Macaca mulatta: one gene and its partner. Each later gene encodes a partner of the first gene's protein in a complex. Links are inferred from orthologs where the notes say so. Each region holds a gene or a part of one and is shown on either strand. Other genes may lie near its edges. The genes, in order: ACVR2B and GDF2.

Region 1 (8,452 bases):
TCTCACCATACTCTAAAATAGTTTTTCTACAGGTTTCTCCAATACCCCCACCATCATTATCACCACATATGAAATTAGAATTTGTCACACTCAGATTTTGTCAAATGCAGTAGGTTCGCCAGTAGTGCCGTTACCCAGAGCTCTTCAGCAACCTTCAGCAAGTGCCTTAGTCTCTTCAGAGTCTGCAGGCAGCATGGAGCCTGGTAAGTGAACGCACATATGCACTTCCATCCCAAACCCAGACCAGCACATCCTGGCTTGTCCACTGCTACTTCCCTCATCAGCACAGTACCCAGGAGACTCAGGCACAAGGTAGGAGACGCAGGCACGAGAAGTTATCTCCAGGTCTCCTCATACATTAAGCCAGTGGAAATGAGCCCTTCCCATGTCCCAGCATCCTTCTTGAAGCCAGGCTATTTCTAACCTCTGTAATCTAGCATGTCAGCAGGGGTTGGGGTGTGGGGGTGGGAAGGATGCTCACAGATTACCGCAGAGAGCCAACTGCCAAATCACCCAGCTTCTACCCCCACTGCCATCACTTGGGTAGCCTCAAAAAATAAATAAATAAATAAAATAGTGTAACCATTTTTCAGTATCTATTAAAACCAGTAATACACGCCTTAAAATCCAGAAGTTATTTTCTCATCTATCCTTGAGAAACAGTCTGCATACATTCTATACAATCATAAAGTCCAGGCCGGGCGCGGTGGCTCAAGCCTGTAATCCCAGCACTTTGGGAGGCCGAGACGGGCAGATCACAAGGTCAGGAGATCAAGACCATCCTGGCTACACAGTGAAACCCCATCTCTACTAAAAAATGCAAAAAAAAACTAGCCGGGTGGGTTGGCGGGCACCTGTAGTCCCAGCTACTCGGGAGGCTGAGGTAGGAGAATGGCGTAAACCCGGGAGGCGGAGCTTGCAGTGAGCTGAGATCCGGCCACTGCACTCCAGCCTGGGCGACAGAGCAAGACTCCGTCTCAAAAAAAAAAAAAAAAAAAAAAACCTTGGTTAAAGTCACAAACATGGTGAGGAAAAGATGGATGCAAAGCAGTTTATTCTGTAAGGTTCTATTCATACGAAACACAGAAACAGACGAAACTATTTTATGCTGTTAGAAGTCAGAATAGTAGTTAACCTTAGTGGGTGTTGGTAGAGACTGAAATGGAACAAAACAGGACTTGCTGGGGATGGGTGGCTGGAAAATTTCTGATTCTTGACTTGGATGCTGACTACACCAGTGTATTCAGTTTGTGAAAATGCTTCTCAGCTGTCACTTCTGTTTAATTACTTGTACATTCTTCTGTATATGTTTATACTTCAATTAAATGCTTGAATACCATTTTAGGTGGAAAAAAAGCCTATTTCTTTTTTTTTTTTTTTTGAGATGGAGACTCACTCAGTTGTCCAGGCTGGACTGCAGTGGCGCTATCTTGGCTCACTGCAAGCTCTGCCTCCCGGGTTCACGCCATTCTCCTGCCTCAGCCTCCCGAGTAGCTGGGACTACAGGCATCCACCACCACGTCCGGCTAATTTTTTGTATTTTTAGTAGAGACGGGGTTTCACTGTGTTAGCCAGGATGGTCTCAATCTCCTGACCTCATGATTTGCCCGCCTCAGCCTCCCAAAGTGCTGGGATTACAGGTGTGAGCCACGGTGCCTGGCCAAAAACCTGTCTATTTCTGTAAGTATTTCTATAGATGCACAGGTAAAAATGTCTGGAAGAATATACCTCAACCTTCAAAGGATTACGTTTGGAGGAGGCCTCAGATGGGGAACAGAGATGATAAAAGGAGGCCCTAGTTTTATCCGTAACATCTAAATTTCTGTGATACAATGTAGGTATATTACTTGTTTAAAAAGTAATAATTTGTTTTTAGAAATGGAAAAATTAGTTAGGGCTGAAGTGACTTCTACTCCCCAAACTACACCCCAGGGTGGCTAACCTTTCAGTGATGGGAGGTTTGGATGGGAGGTTTCAGGGCAGGGGAGATAGACTGCATTACCCTGGCCCTCCTTCTACTCCCACACAGCCTTGTAGGTCTCACCCTCAGCCAGAAGGTTCACAGGAGGAGCCAGCCAGGTGGGAAGAGAAACCAGAATTCATCTCTCTAACCCTTCTGCTCCTCTAGTTTCTAAGCCCCAGAGCAGATGAGCCTTTACTCACTATGCCCTCACTACACAGAGAAGCTGGACCTCCTGTGTGAGCCCTGGGCCACAGGACTCCCCTCTAACCCAATATCAAACTTCAGTGAGAAGGAAATTCCCAAAAAGTGCATAAAATAAGAGTTCTTAAACCATGGTTGCCAGCCCAGGCTGGGAAAACTCATGCGTGCTTTCTAAATCAACGGACACATAATAATCCAGTTGGAGGGGAAGGGGAGGAGGGTTATCAATGACACTGGACATTCATTAAAAGGCATTGTCCTCATACCTGAAAACACTGTGCACCACTGCACAAGCCAGAAGGAAAAAACATCCTGGCATCAACACTTGAGAGAGTCAGCTTCCAAGTCAGTCTCCTGTTTTAATTGGTTCAGGTCTGGGAGGCCACAGGGACCCCTCCCTCTCCTCAGATGGACAGATAACAGCTGGTCTGGTCTCATCCTCCGAAATGCTCAGGCACAAACCTGGGAAGCAGCCTCCTCCATTCTCCAGCCAAGGGCTTGGGTTTCCAACTAGCCTTCCTTTTCCTTCTCCAAAACTAATTTTAGCTTCCTTGGTTGTCAGAGTGGAACTGAAATAGTCGGCAGAGGAACACACGCAAAGAGCATGAGCTCGCCTCACAAAACACCTCAGCTCCAGCCCAGAAACTGGCCAGGGAGAAGCCCCATTGTCCAGCAGGTCAGACCTGTCCAGACAACATTCCCCTGGGAAGAGGGCCTCACATTTGCCCAGTGGGACAGGCTTCCTTTCCACACCCGCTTCCAGAGGTCATGTGTCCATGAATGAAAACACCCAGTTGGAGCTGCCAGTCCCAGAAAGAATCTGAAAAAGGCACATGCATGTGTACAGCAAGCCTAGAATAACCAGAGGAAAGCATGGGGCTATCCGAAGGCAGAAAGCTATTATTGGTCCTGGGCCCTGCAGGAAGAGGCATGGCTGACCCCTGAACAATCCCAGTCTGCTTTATCCGTTGATTTCCAGCACCTACCATTGTCTTAGTCAGAGACATCACTGACCAATGTAATAAATAAAGAGTCAGAAGAAGGCAGCAGCATTTCCACCCCTGGAAAACCTGGGCATTCAGGAGTGGTACCCCAAGGACCACAAGGAATAGGCACCTCTAGGGCTAGGATGGACCCCTAAGTCTGGTGCAGAATGAGAGACCAAAAAAGGAAGCCCAGAACAAGGGGGTGGGTCTCTGTTTTGGAATACAGAATTAGTGACAGAATGGGAGGGAAGGAAGAGAAAGAATTCTGAGAAGGAAATAAAGTCCCCTTTGTAAAGACCCCAAAAACAGATGGAACTAAAGTCTGAACCTCAGCAAGCACTTCACATACCAGTGATGTGGAGCACTTGGAAACTGGGGCTTTGAAAAATGCTTCCGCCATCCTAAGAGTCCAGTTTGTAATCACTTCCCAGTGCAGCAAACTGTGTCTCACTGAGTTCAAGATGAGAGAGAGTCCCACAGAAGCATTCCCTAGCCAAGCTCGAAGCAGGCCAGGGTAGGAGTAGAAAATAAACATGGGGGCAGCCACAGGGGGCTGCCAGCCTGCCAAGCCCAACAGACAAGCTTCCACAGATACGAACCGCTCCACCGGGGCCTCCAGTGCTGGCTGCCGCATGTCTAAGGCAGCGCTGCCCACACCTCCCCAGGTCCACAGCAGGAAGCCTGGCCCTGCCCTCAGATTCCCATCTGGCCACCACACCCTGAAGAGAGGGGAGAGACTTGCACCCATACCTTTGGGGAGAGGCTGCCCACCTGCCCTGGTGTCCCCGGCCTGGGGGCTCCAGGCCCACAGCCTCTGCGGCTCCCCGGAGCGCCACACGGCAGGTCTGCTCAGGGGAAGGGGCATGCCCACGGCCTGCTACAACCCCAGTGCTCCGCTTGGCAGACAGGGCTAGCCTCAGCTCCTGAGGCCCCTAGGTGAGCAGAGAGGGGGTGCTGGGCAGGCAGAGAGTCCCCAGCAACAGGCACTTCCTGACATTCTGCGTGTACGGGAGGAAGAGGCTGAGTGCCAGCCTTAAGGCAACGGTCAGAGGCGAGTGGGCGGGTGCGGGCAGGCAGGCTGCCCAGCCACCCACAGCCTCCGCCTCCCTGAAACCTGAACCACTTCTGGGAAAACTCAAGGACGCCAGGATTCTCCTCGGTGGCAAGCTGTACACCAGAACCACTAATTTTGAACCAAACTCTCACGTGCTGAGCAGATTTCACTAAGCAGGAATCTCCTAGGCCTTGAGGAGAACCTCACCTTCAACCCTGCATCCAGAGTGGGGGGATGGATATGCACTCATAAGCCGTTACCCCTACCTACTTCTTACAACTGTGTGCCTCTTTGAAAGCATGAGAACATTCTGGATCAGTGGTTCCCAACAGGAGATGATTTTGCTCTCACCTCTGCCAGGGACATTTTAGCAAGATCTGGAAACATTTTTGGTTGACATGATCTACTGGAATTTGTGGGTAGAGGTAGGGATACTGCTGAATATCCTACAATGCACAGAACAGCTCAACCCACCACTACCCACACACAACAGAGTATCATCAGGCCTAAAATGTAAATAGTGTCAAGGCTGAGAAACCCCGTTCTAGAGTGAGGCCCATGCAACCAGGACCCTACCTCAGGACTATCTAGAGTCTATCTGGAGTTACCCACAAAAAGATTATCCAGACCCAGTCCTCAACCCTCCAGATCCCAATCCATGGTGACAGGTTAGTATATGTGAGTGGATCTAAACTCCTGAACTGATACTCCTTGGTTCTCATTTGCACTACCCTGAGCTCCCAAGCAGAGGGGCTGAATGCATAGGCAGGCACTCAAGAGGGCAGCTTTCTGGAAAGAGACACCAGGGCTAGAATCTAAACATCCAGCGGGATCACAAAAGGCAAAGTAAGTGAGGTACCAAGGTGGAACAAGCACCCCTCCCACCCCAGAACAAGCTGCCCCTTAGGACTGCTACAGTGGATATGTGCAGGGCAGCCAGGACTTCAAGGAGTTTAATCAGGGGGCAGCAGGTTCCCAGTATCTACAAAACAGAGTGGGTGCATACAATGTACAACCACATGCACACATATACCGATTTACATTTTCCTGGGGGAAGGGTCCATAGCTTTCATCAGATTCTCAGAGGGGTCTACGACATCAAGGACCACTGTACAGAATGTGGGCTCTTCACTGGCTCCCTATAACGGGAGCTCCTTAGGTGAAGTGCCAGCGGAGGTTCAGCTGCTTTTGGAGATTCTTGATGCCCAGAAAGACCCACAGAGTAGTATACCACAGAGGCCCACCCAAGCGATGGGAGGCCATGGGGTTCAGATCTTATGTTTTCACCCAGCTGTAGGGCCTGGAAAGATGGCCAGGTTTCTCACATCATCTGTCTTGAAAGGGCCCCCAAGAGCTAGGGATTCCTCCCAAAGGGCAGCTCACCCAGATGGGGCAGAGCCTCAAGTGCCCAGCAGATACAAGGACAGATAGCAGAAAACACTCTTCCCTGGGAGGGGCACCCATGGCCCATGGCTCTGCAGCCCATGTCCTTGGCAGCTACCACTACACTAGGCCTGAGGGATGAAAGTCACTTCACTTCACAAGCTCGTTCCCTCCACCAAGGAAGTGGCCAAGAAACATCTTTGGGTCAAAGAACGGTCAGCCTATCAGAGCAATCAGGGCCTGCACTTCCTGATGGGACAGATAGGAGGCAGGTCCCTCTCCAAGAGCTCTGGACACTTCACCTAGAATACTGTTCACTCCACCCCCATAGGCCCTTTGATCTGAACCCCAAGTACAGAGACAGGTGTTAGGAGTTCTTGTAGGATACAGCGTTGAGTGTCCAGGATGTCCACTGAAATGCAAGAGCCAAATGGCTTGTTTCCCAAGGACACTCGGCCAGACACAGACCACAAAAGACTTAAAGAATTATTAAAGAACTAACTGACCACTGACTGATCTTGTGACAAGCACCATGTGCCACTTATTACACCATAAATTCTGCCTTCCCTTCTGAGACTCCATTGTCCAATATGGTAGCCACTAGCCAAATGTTCCGCAGAGCACTGGAAATGTGGAAAGTTGGAGTTGAGGATGTTCTGTAAGGCACACACAGGATTTTGATGACAGTACAAAAATGGAACACAAAATGTCTCATTTTAATACTGATTTCAGACTGAGATGATTACTTTGTATATATCAAATTAAGTGAAATACACTTTTTTATTGAGATGGAGCCTCACTCTGTCACCAGGCTGGAGTGCAGTGACACGATCTCGGCTCACTGCAACCTCCACCTCCCAGGTTCATGCGATTCTCCTGCCTCAGCCTCCGGAGTAGCTGGGACTACAGGTATGTGTCACCACGCCCAGCTAATTTTTGTATTTTTAGTAGAGATGGGGTTTCACCATGTTGGCCAGGATGGTCTCGATCTCTTGACCTCGTGATCCTCCTACCTCGGTCTCCTGAAGTGCTGGGATTACAGGCATCAGCCACTGTGCCAGGCCAGTAAAATATACTATTAAAGTTCATTCCATCTCATGGAAAGCATGTGTACCCCCAAAATTCATATGATGAAGCTCTGACCCCCAGTGTAATGGTATTTGGAGATGGGACCTTTGGGAAGTAGTGAAGGTTAGATTAAGTCAGAAGGGTGGGGCCCTCAGGTAATGGGGAGAGGATTCACAGTCTTATAAACAGAGGAAAACACCCCCTAGCCCCATCCCACCCATCATGTGAGAATGTAGTAAGAAGGCAGATGTCTGCAAGCCAGGAAGAGGGTCTTCACCAGAACCCAACCATGCCAGCACCCTGCACCCTGGGCTCAGACTTACAGCTTCCAGAACTTTGACGATATAAATTTCTGCTGTTTAAGCCACCAGTCTACAGTATTTTGTTATGGAAGTCCCAACTAAGACACAGCTGTTTCTTCTTCCTTTTATTAACATGACTACTAGAAAACGTTGTTTTATATGTATACATAGTTCATATACTATTTCTGTCGCCAGGACAGCATTCTTCTAGATGTTCCTTCTAGCAGGCCATTGTGTGCTGCACAGGGTGGGGGTTATTCCAAACAGCAAGCCAGGAGCTTGAAATAAAAGGGCATCCCTGAAGCCAAAACAACGGAGGGTCAGGTCCGCTGCAAACTGGGCCTGGGGCAGCTCTTTTCACAGTTCCTCACAGGTCAGGGACTGGCTGGTGTGACTACACGAAATATCCAGTGACCCCCGACCTTCTTCCCAGGACAGGATACACTGCTCAGCACTGCCTAAGCTAGGTGGCTGAAACGGACGAAAAAGAAAGAAAATACACTCCTTCCAGGGGTCTGATGCCACCCTGCCCTGCCTAATGAGGGAGGTGTGAGACTGGTGTGGTCCCCAGATCCCAGGTTTGAAGCTGTCCTGTCTCGGGAGGAAGCTCTCCTAAAGGCCTGGGCTTGGAAGAGCCCCAGCACTTCCAGGGATCAGGCCAGCAGCGGGTCTGGAGGCAGCCCGGTGGGCTGCTGTGTGCCTATCAAGTCAGCTTGCTGCCGCCCTCCCTCTGGCAGACCAATGCCTCCCCTGTCACTTTCAAGCCCTCCTTGGGGAAAATGCATCCCAAGGGAGCGGGGCAAAAAAGAGGAGCACAAAGTCCAACACGACCACCACTTTGCCTCCAGCACACAGGAAGCGGCTCCAGGAGAGCTGCAACACCCTCTTCCATATAGTTCTCAGGTGCCAATTGGTCTTTGCCTTCCCGTCTCCGCACTCAGGCTGTGCGCGCGCTACTAGCCTACAGAACTCACTCGCTTTCGGTGTAAACTAAGCCTCACGACGACGCAAAGGAGGAGGTAGAACTATGGTGGGAATGGGACGGAGATGCCAAATCCCCAAATCTCCACCTCCGCAGCAGCGTGGGGACTCCGGCCCCGCCCCTGCACGCCCGGCCCCGCCCCTCGAGGGTTTCCCAGACTCCAGGCTGCTGCCACCGTGGGCGGCTGGGGACCCGCGCTGCATGTGTAATGGGGGCTGGGAACAAAGACGCGCAGGACCCGACGGCCGGGTACCAGCCGCCCCGACCTTCTCGCCAGAGCTTCAATGCCCAGCTCCCCACGTTTCCCAGGACTGGCCAGGGGACGTCCCGGCGCGCCCGCCGCGGTTAGGCGTACCCGGGCACCACTGGGACAGGGAAATTGGTGCTTGGGCCGCAGGAGAAAAAAGCTTTACAGGCGGAACTCCGCTTGTTTACGCCCGCACCCACATACCCCCAAACACACATGCGCTGGCCGAACACCTCCAGCCACACGCCCGCAGCCGCCGGGGAGCT
Region 2 (8,489 bases), on another chromosome or scaffold:
ACCAAACTGAGCAACGTGACGGAACCCCGTCTCTACAAAAAATATAAAAATTAGGCTGGCGTGGTGGCTCATGCCTGTGGTCCCAGCTACTCAGGAGGCTGAGGTGGAAGGATCACCTGGGACCAGGGAGATCGAGGCTACAGTGAGCCATGATCACGCCACTGCACTCCAGCCTGGGTGACAGAGTGAGATCTCATCTCAAAAAAAAAAAAAAAAATGAAGTTCATGAAAAGTTTTTCATGACATGGGAAGGTATTTATACAGTCCTTCCCCAGTACCTCCTCCTAGTGCCCAGATCTAGACCCTTCTGGGGTTCATGCCAACCTGACTCCCTCCCTGTGCTGTCTGCGCCACTCCCATCCCAGGGTCCTAAGCCAATCAGGACATTCAGGACATTGCGTTCCCCCAGCCACGGTGATTGGCTGGAGTGTTTGCAGATTATCCAATCAGGGTCAGAGAGACACCATGAGACTCCCTAGGACTTTCCGGAAAAGAGGCTTTTGCTCCTCTTTGACCCCACCCAGCCCCCCATGTGAAAGGGATACAGGCCGGCTGCAGTGACTGGCCACCTCGCCAAGACACAGAGAGATGGAGCATGAAGCCAACACAGTGGAAGGCAGGACTGAGAGAGGAGAAAGCATGGCTAGAACTTTGCCTGTCCTGTAGCTCAAGCCATGCTAAAGCCAAACCGTTGCCAACCCAGAAGTTTTCATTAGTCAGGTGCAATCCACTTTGCTTAGGCCTGTTTGGATTCTGCTTTTCTGCAGCCTGTGACAAAAGGAATCCAAATGACAACATTTAAAATTTTTTTAATTAAAAAAATTTTTTTCAAAGAGAAGCCCATACATATCAAACCTTGTATACCTCAAGTGGCTTCGAAAGTAAACCTAAGGCAGAGATTGAAGACACTTTAGTGTACATTTTCTTAAATTTTATGCCAGCCTTTGCTTTATTTAGGTATAGACACATAAGACTACCATAATTCAGATCTTTAGTCTTTGAATAATCATGTGGATAGACCTCCCTGGGAAGTCGGTGAAGAATTAGAAAGTACACAGTTTGAAGGAGGAGGGGGCAAACGAGAGATAAATAAGACCTTCTGTGGTTCAAGTGAGGCAGCTCCTTCCTGAAACCCCAACAATGCAAAGCTGGTGATAGCAGAGGGAGGGGTCCTTCTTCAGGAGGGAACACCCAGGGTCTGTTTCCTCCTGGGAAAATCAGAACAAGTTTGAGACTTGTTCCCTAAGACTCAGAGTTAGGGGGATTTTCTCAGATGGACCAAGGTCCATTTGTATGAAAAGGTAACCAAGTCCCTGAAATCACCACCTGATGAAAGTGGGAGTCCCTCTGATGACCTAGGCCACCCGTAAGAGCCTAGAAATTTGAGAAAGGGCAGGTTAGAATTGGTATGTGACCATAGCTGGCCTCTTCTCTCCACCCAGCCACTGGCCACAGAGGCATGCATGCCGGAGGTGGGTAAGCCCGGCATATGTCTAAGAAGACTGTTACCTTGTTGCCTCATGGGGCGCACCCTACAGACCTGGGCTAGAGGGCGTCCCAGCAGCTAAGAACAAGCAGCCGTTTAGACATGTAGGACCAGTGCCCAACAGCAAAGCCAGTGTTGTTGAGAAGCAACAGCAGGTGGGACCCCTCTCTCCCTCCCGCTTCCCAGCGTGAAGAAGCTGGACTAACACCTTCCCACACCATCTCCTTTGGACTTAATTGACACATGGGGCACTTGGACTATTCAGGAAAGGAGAAGACCAGACTTCCTGATGATATGGATCAGGAAACCTCAAGCAATCCATTTAAAACAATAAAAGAGATGTGAACATATTGATCCCTTGAGTTTGTGAGGCAAATCATTTCAGATATACACCGGCATGTTGCATTGCACAGCTCCAGGGAAAGCCATCCATGTCAGAGTCTGTGTGACCAGCACCCACAGGCAGCTGTGATGACCCTGGACATAGTCAGGTCCATAGTCCTTCATCTGAGACCCCCAAATAAAAAACCATCTAAGAACCTAAAGTTTCTTTTAATTCCTTTTCTGGGAAAACTTGACCTGAATGGACATTTGTGGCTTTATTTGTTTCACTGCAGAAATATTCATGTGTGTCATTATAAGGTGTCGTCTCTGACCCCTTTGGGAATGTTATTGCATATACACAATACAAAATCCCCCAAATCTGAAACTATCGAAGTCGCAACACACTCTTGGCCACAAGGGTTTCAGATATAGGATTGTGGAGCGGATGTGTCTCAAAATGCTAACCATGAGCATCACTGGATGATTAAACTGTAGGTTATTTATTTTCTCTTTAACAATGTTTTCCATTTCCCAAGCTTTCTGCACTATAGACTACTGTTATAACTGGGAAAAAATGTCACATTTGAAAAATAACATCAGGTAGCAGCGCCTTGCTCCTACTAGAGCACATCCAGGCCCCTAGGCTATTCATACTCTGCTCAGCCTCTCATGTGTGAAAAGCTCCTGGTCAGACCACGATGCAGGCATCTGCCCTGTCCTCACTCCTCCCAGACCACACCCCACTCTGCATTTGCAGCTCCATTTCTTGGGCATGGCACCCATTTATTCATCTTTTCTCTGCCCCATGGAATTCTTGCGCTGAGCTGGATCAAAGCCCAGCGCACTTCCAGTCCTCTTCCCAAGCAGCATTTCTGAAGCAGCACGCTTCCCGTCTTCCCCTGGCCCATGTCATCAAAGGACAGAGATAGCAAGTTCTGTCCAGGCCCAGCCATTCAGGGGCTCCTGATTTCACCCATCCTCGTCTGCAATCTGACCACAGCATGCTGTGGCCCCTCCTGCACCCCACTAAACCTGCTCAGCTCTCTGCAACCTCTCCCCGACAGCCTCACCAGCATGGAGCATCTTCCCCAGAGTAAACCACCAGGCACAGCATACCCTGGAGTATTTCTAACCATGCTCCTTCTTTGCTGTACTCAAAGCCACACATGATGGAAATGGACAGAGTCTTAAGTGTGGACACACTGCTCTTAACACAGTCCCTAGGGCCCTTTCCTGGGCCACAGCTTGTCAGCCTCCAAAGGCCAGGGAATCATCTTCTTGGCATGTACCAGTCTCAGAACAACTCACCTACTCCCCTGTCTACCAGATTGCGTGGTTCTCCCTGCTGATGAGTGTGGGCCAGGTGGCTGCCAAGTCAATGTGAGCTAAGACCACCCCACAACAGGCCAGTGCCAGAGCTGGGATGCAGGGATGTGGGGAGCTCCCTGCAGGCTGCAGTGTGTTGTGGAGCTCTGACAGAGCAGGCTGGGGGAACCCGGGGCTCCAGCTCAATCAGGTGTGGGCTGGAGAAGGGGCATCCAGAATGCTGCCACCAAGCCAGCCTGGGGCACAGCATCCTCTTAACCCCTACAACTATCTTCTGAATGGGAGGCTCGTAGAGTGCGGTGACTTGTTCCAGGTGACATTTGCAGGGAATCGGTGAGGGAGCTGAGATCCCAGCCTCTGTCTAGTCTGACTTATCACCACACTAAATTGCACGAGAGCCATATTCACTCGTGATCTCTAATGCTCAGCAATGCATCCCACCAACAGAGCAGGGAGCCTTGCTCGCAGGTTCCGACTCTGTAAGGAGCAGGCCTCTTCTGAGCCTTGATGTGGTCCCCACACTCTCACCATCTCCCCAGCCCCCACAGTTCACTGTGCTCTTGCGCTGTCCTTTCTATATTTGGAGGGCTTCTTGGTCTTGTTTCCTGGATTCTTCACTACTGTGGCCCAGGAGATGGAGCATATGTCACCCTGCCTGGAGATTCTTCTGAAGAGCCCTGGCAAGGAAATGAGAAAGGATCCTAATTAGGGGGCAATAACCCCCTGGAGAAGCACAGATTCCTTACAGTAGGCCGTGTCCTTCCCACATGCCCTGTGTGTTTGTCAGATGTTTATAGAGCCTTCATTAACGGAAGGCTCCCTCAGATAAGACGTCGGAGCGCGGCATCGAGGACCAGATAAGCACAAGTGGAGGACAATCCAGCCCGGCAGCGGGCGAAAGTGGGCGCTGGCCAGGACGGTTCCTTCAGAGCAAACAGCAGGGAGATGCCGGCCTGCTCCTTCCCGGCTCCTCCCCGTGCCCGCTAACACAGTACGGCCGCCTGCAGTCTCCTCTCTGGGTGATTGCGTGGGCCCAAGATGTGTCCTGGGGCACTATGGGTGGCCCTGCCCCTGCTGTCCCTGCTGGCCGGCTCCCTGCAGGGGAAGCCACTGCAGAGCTGGGGGCGAGGGTCTGCTGGGGGAACTGCCCACAACCCACTGGGGGTGCCTGGAGGTGAGCTGCCGGAGCACACTTTCAACCTGAAGATGTTTCTGGAGAACATGAAGGTGGATTTCTTGCGCAGCCTTAACCTGAGCGGGGTCCCTTCGCAGGACAAAACCAGGGTGGAGCCACCGCAGTACATGATCGATCTGTACAACAGGTACACGTCTGATAAGTCGACTACGCCAGCGTCCAACATCGTGCGGAGCTTCAGCATGGAAGGTAGGGTCTCCGCTTGCACCAGACGCGCTGGGGTAGGACTCACAGGTCCACAGCTGCTTTCACCAGGGTGGAGGCCGCTGGTCATAGGAGGCTCTTCAAGCTTCCATTTAAATTAGTTACAATGAAATAAAATTAAAACTTAGTTCTTTAGCCTCACCAGCTTCCTTTCAAATGTGTGGCTAATGGCTTCCCTATCAGGCAGTGCAGACTGCAGAACATTTCCATGGTCACTGAGAGTTCTACTCGGCGCTTCTGCTCTGAAGGATTCACCTTCCCCAGGCTGTGCGCCACATTTCACACAGCAGGTGCACAGGGATGCCAGCTCCCTTTTTTCCACCCCTTCTGTTTACTCTCCTCTTCTTTCCGTCTCTCCCCTCTGATTCACTTCTCTTCCTTTTCCCCTTCCCTTCCTGTCCCCTTCCTACTTCAAAACAAAACAGACAACCTATTTCACCTCCAACTAACTGGTATATTTTTAAACTTTGAAAGCACAGTTATTCCTTTCTTGTGAAAGGGTTTTAAAAATCAGATGAAATTCTTTGACAGAGAAGTGTTGAAAGAGAACCTAATTGTTTTTAAATAGAAATGTATCTGATTTAGAAGGACTAGAAGATAACAAACACGGACCTAGGACCTATGTCCTAACTCAGTCAAGCTCACATGATGCAGGGGGAAATAAGTTTCTGAACAGTGAAACTGTTCAGTCAAAACTTGCAGCCACCAAGGGTTCCCACCCATGTCACCTAGGAAGTGTTAAGCCGCTGGATTCTGACCCAGGCCTGTCCGTCTGCACAGCCGGCTTTTCCTGCTGCTGCCGTCTCCCTCTGAATGTCCAGGAGCACAGAGCCTCTCCCCTCCTGGGTCTGAGACTTGCAAATGGCTTAGGGGCCTGGCTCCATACCGCATCCAGGCCAGAGCTAACCAGTCTGCAGAGGCAGGACTGGCACTTCAAAACCTGCCAGCTAGGTTTCCCTATAGCACCGGGTCTCCACACATGTGGGCGCATAGCAAGTGCCCAGAAAATGCAACCTCTTTTCCCTGTCTGTGAACCAGCCGTGGTATAGCAGGAGTGTGCTAACGACAAAGTGTCAGCCCAGGATAAATGGGATATTGAGTTAACTATGTGGCTAAAAGGCAAGCCCCATTTTTGCTTGACATGACAAAGCAATTGAAGCTAATAGATTTTTTTCCTGAAACACTAAAACCAATTAATCACTTATGCTTTGTTCAGAAATTACAATTTCAAATGATGCATACACTGTTTAGAGGCTGAGATTTTTGATATTGTCTTAATATTGGGATTTCACTGTCCCCACCCAGGATCTTGCCTTTAAATTCGTGTACTCAGGATCTTCACTCAGGATCTGACAGTGAGTTTTGCTGTTTTCTTTATGTACTCACTAGCTGTGTGCTAGTAAGTCCCAGGATACTTAACTAGCTGCGTGCATTTTGGCAATTAACTGCCTTGAATCCCAGTCTCCACATCTGCAAATGTGGAATAATAATTAGATCCTCCCAGGGTGAGTGCGAGGATTAAGGTGAAATTTACACTGCAAAGCTCCCAGTGTAATGCCTGGCACACAGTAGATGCTCAATAAACAGTAGGAACTGTCAATCCCAATTAGAGGCATCTCCTGCCTTTGCTTTTCTTTGGAAGATCTTAAGTATACCTTTGAAAATACTCTTATAACTTAAGGGCTTGGGTGAAACCAAATAGAGATAATACAGACCAAAACTGTTATCCCAGATGCTCTTCTGTCTAAACCCTGAGACTCAGCTTCAGTGTCATGGAAACAGACCCTTCGGCAGATGCCCACCAGGTGTGTTTGCATTTCAGATGCCATCTCCATGACTGCCACGGAGGACTTCCCCTTCCAGAAGCACATCTTGCTCTTCAACATCTCCATTCCCAGGCACGAGCAGATCACCAGAGCTGAGCTCCGACTCTATGTCTCCTGTCAAAATCACATGGACCACTCTCACGACCTGAAAGGAAGCATGGTCATTTATGATGTTCTGGATGGAACAGATGCCTGGGATAGTGCTGCGGAGACCAAGACCTTCCTGGTGTCCCAGGACATTCGGGATGAGGGCTGGGAGACCTTGGAAGTGTCCAGCGCCGTGAAGCGTTGGGTCCGGTCCGACTCCACCAAGAGCAAAAATAAGCTGGAAGTGACTGTGGAGAGCCACAGGAAGGGCTGTGACAAGCTGGACATCAGTGTCCCCCCAGGTTCCAGAAACCTGCCCTTCTTTGTCGTCTTCTCCAATGACCACAGCAGTGGGACCAAGGAGACCAGGCTGGAGCTGAGGGAGATGATCAGCCATGAGCAAGAGAGTGTGCTCAAGAAGCTGTCCAAGGAGGGCTCCACAGAGGCAGGTGAGAGCAGCCACGAGGAGGACGCAGATGGCCACGTGGCTGTGGGGTCGACTTTAGCCAGGCGGAAAAGGAGCACCGGGGCTGGCAGCCACTGTCAGAAGACCTCCCTGCGGGTAAACTTCGAGGACATCGGCTGGAACAGCTGGATCATTGCGCCCAAGGAGTACGAAGCCTACGAGTGTAAGGGTGGCTGCTTCTTCCCCTTGGCTGACGATGTGACGCCGACGAAACACGCTATCGTGCAGACCCTGGTGCATCTCAAGTTCCCCACAAAGGTGGGCAAAGCCTGCTGTGTGCCCACCAAACTGAGCCCCATCTCCATCCTCTACAAGGATGACATGGGAGTGCCCACCCTCAAGTACCACTACGAGGGCATGAGTGTGGCAGAGTGTGGGTGCAGGTAGTACCTGCCTGCGGGGCTGGGGAGGCAGGCCAAAGGGGCTCCACATGAGAGGTCCTGCATCCCCCTGGGCACAACAAGGACTGATTCTATCTGCATGCCAGCCTGGAGGAGGAAAGGGAGCCTGCTCTCCCTCCCCACCCCCCAACCAAAGCATACACCACTGAGCTCAACTGCCAGGGAAGGCTAAGGAAATGGGGATTTGAGCACAACGGGAAAGCCTGGGAGGGTTGTTGGGGTGCAAGGAGGTGATGAAAAGGAGACAAGGGGAAAAGTAATCCAGAGTCAACAGAAAACAACAGCAGTGAGCCAGAGGAGCACAGGTGGGCAGGTGACTGCAGAGATTGATGGAGATTAGAAAGGTGGAGGAGGCTGGCTTATTCCAAAACCCTTGGGGAGTAGAGGGAAGGAGCAGGCTGCACGCCACACCCATCACTGCATGTTATTTCCTACAATCCAGTTAGAGGGGCATGGCTTCCAATTTAGAGACAGAGAGACAGAAACACAGGCAGATCAAGTAGCATTGGTCAATGGCATGATTCCAACCCAGAGTTGTGGGACACCAAAGCCCAGGATCTTTCCAAGTGCCCCGCTGCAGTTAAGCAGGTCCTCTCCAGCTAAAGAGCAGTGAGACATTGGGAGCCCAGGAGTGTTGAGGCCGGGCCCGGCTGAAGCCCATCAGTCACAAGTGTGACTGGGCTACTTGTCACATACAGGGCGTGGTCTGGCCACTGTTGCCAGTGCTCACTCAGCGGCCAAATGCTTTTTAATATCACCCCTGAGGCACTGAAAAACTAACCCCAGGCCAACTGCAGGACAGAGAGAGAGGTCAGGACAGCAGCCCTGTGGGCTGCATGATACACTGTGGCCAGAGCTATTGTGACCCCCTGGTGCAGTGCTCCCACGGTCAATGGTGCACACGGGGCCACTCACTGTCCATGGACTGATACCATGTGACCGTTTGAGAGGGCTGGGCACACTTTCTCCTGAGGGAGGGGGTAGCCTGTGGCCAGCACTTCTGCAGTTACTCAGCATAGCCAGACCACCAGGATGTGGTGCCCAGGGTGCCCCCCAGCGACAACCCAGGGGAGACGGGCCTGGATTTGAATTTGTTGGAATTAAATGTGCTCTTGCTTTGGTCTTTGAAACATACCTATTTTTAATCCTTGGTGACATGTCCTCAAGTGACAAG

The links.
Region 2: the proteins of ACVR2B (region 1) and GDF2 are in contact, whole or in part, in a crystal structure (PDB 4FAO), measured with the Homo sapiens proteins. The link is inferred for Macaca mulatta from reciprocal best matches to the Homo sapiens genes ACVR2B and GDF2. Residues at the interface, in NP_001097.2 of Homo sapiens: Asn35, Glu39, Cys49, Glu50, Glu52, Lys55, Leu57, Tyr60, Ser62, Arg64, Val73, Lys74, Cys77, Trp78, Leu79, Asp81, Phe82, Asn83, Glu94, Gln98, Val99, Phe101; in NP_057288.1 of Homo sapiens: Arg333, Ile346, Ala347, Pro348, Lys349, Glu350, Tyr351, Glu352, Lys397, Ser399, Pro400, Ile401, Ser402, Val403, Leu404, Lys406, Gly410, Val411, Pro412, Thr413, Leu414, Tyr416, His417.

The regions. Positions count from the first base shown.
Region 1 is NC_133407.1:100,746,112-100,754,563, reverse strand, and holds the start of ACVR2B (activin receptor type-2B), read right to left. Parts: upstream 4,163-8,452; 5' UTR 4,016-4,162; coding exon 3,901-4,015; intron 1-3,900. UniProt on the Homo sapiens protein: Transmembrane serine/threonine kinase activin type-2 receptor forming an activin receptor complex with activin type-1 serine/threonine kinase receptors (ACVR1, ACVR1B or ACVR1c).
Region 2 is NC_133414.1:61,450,840-61,459,328, forward strand, and holds the start of GDF2 (growth/differentiation factor 2), read left to right. Parts: upstream 1-3,742; 5' UTR 3,743-4,174; coding exon 4,175-4,520; intron 4,521-6,357; coding exon 6,358-7,301; 3' UTR 7,302-8,489. UniProt on the Homo sapiens protein: Potent circulating inhibitor of angiogenesis. Signals through the type I activin receptor ACVRL1 but not other Alks. Signaling through SMAD1 in endothelial cells requires TGF-beta coreceptor endoglin/ENG.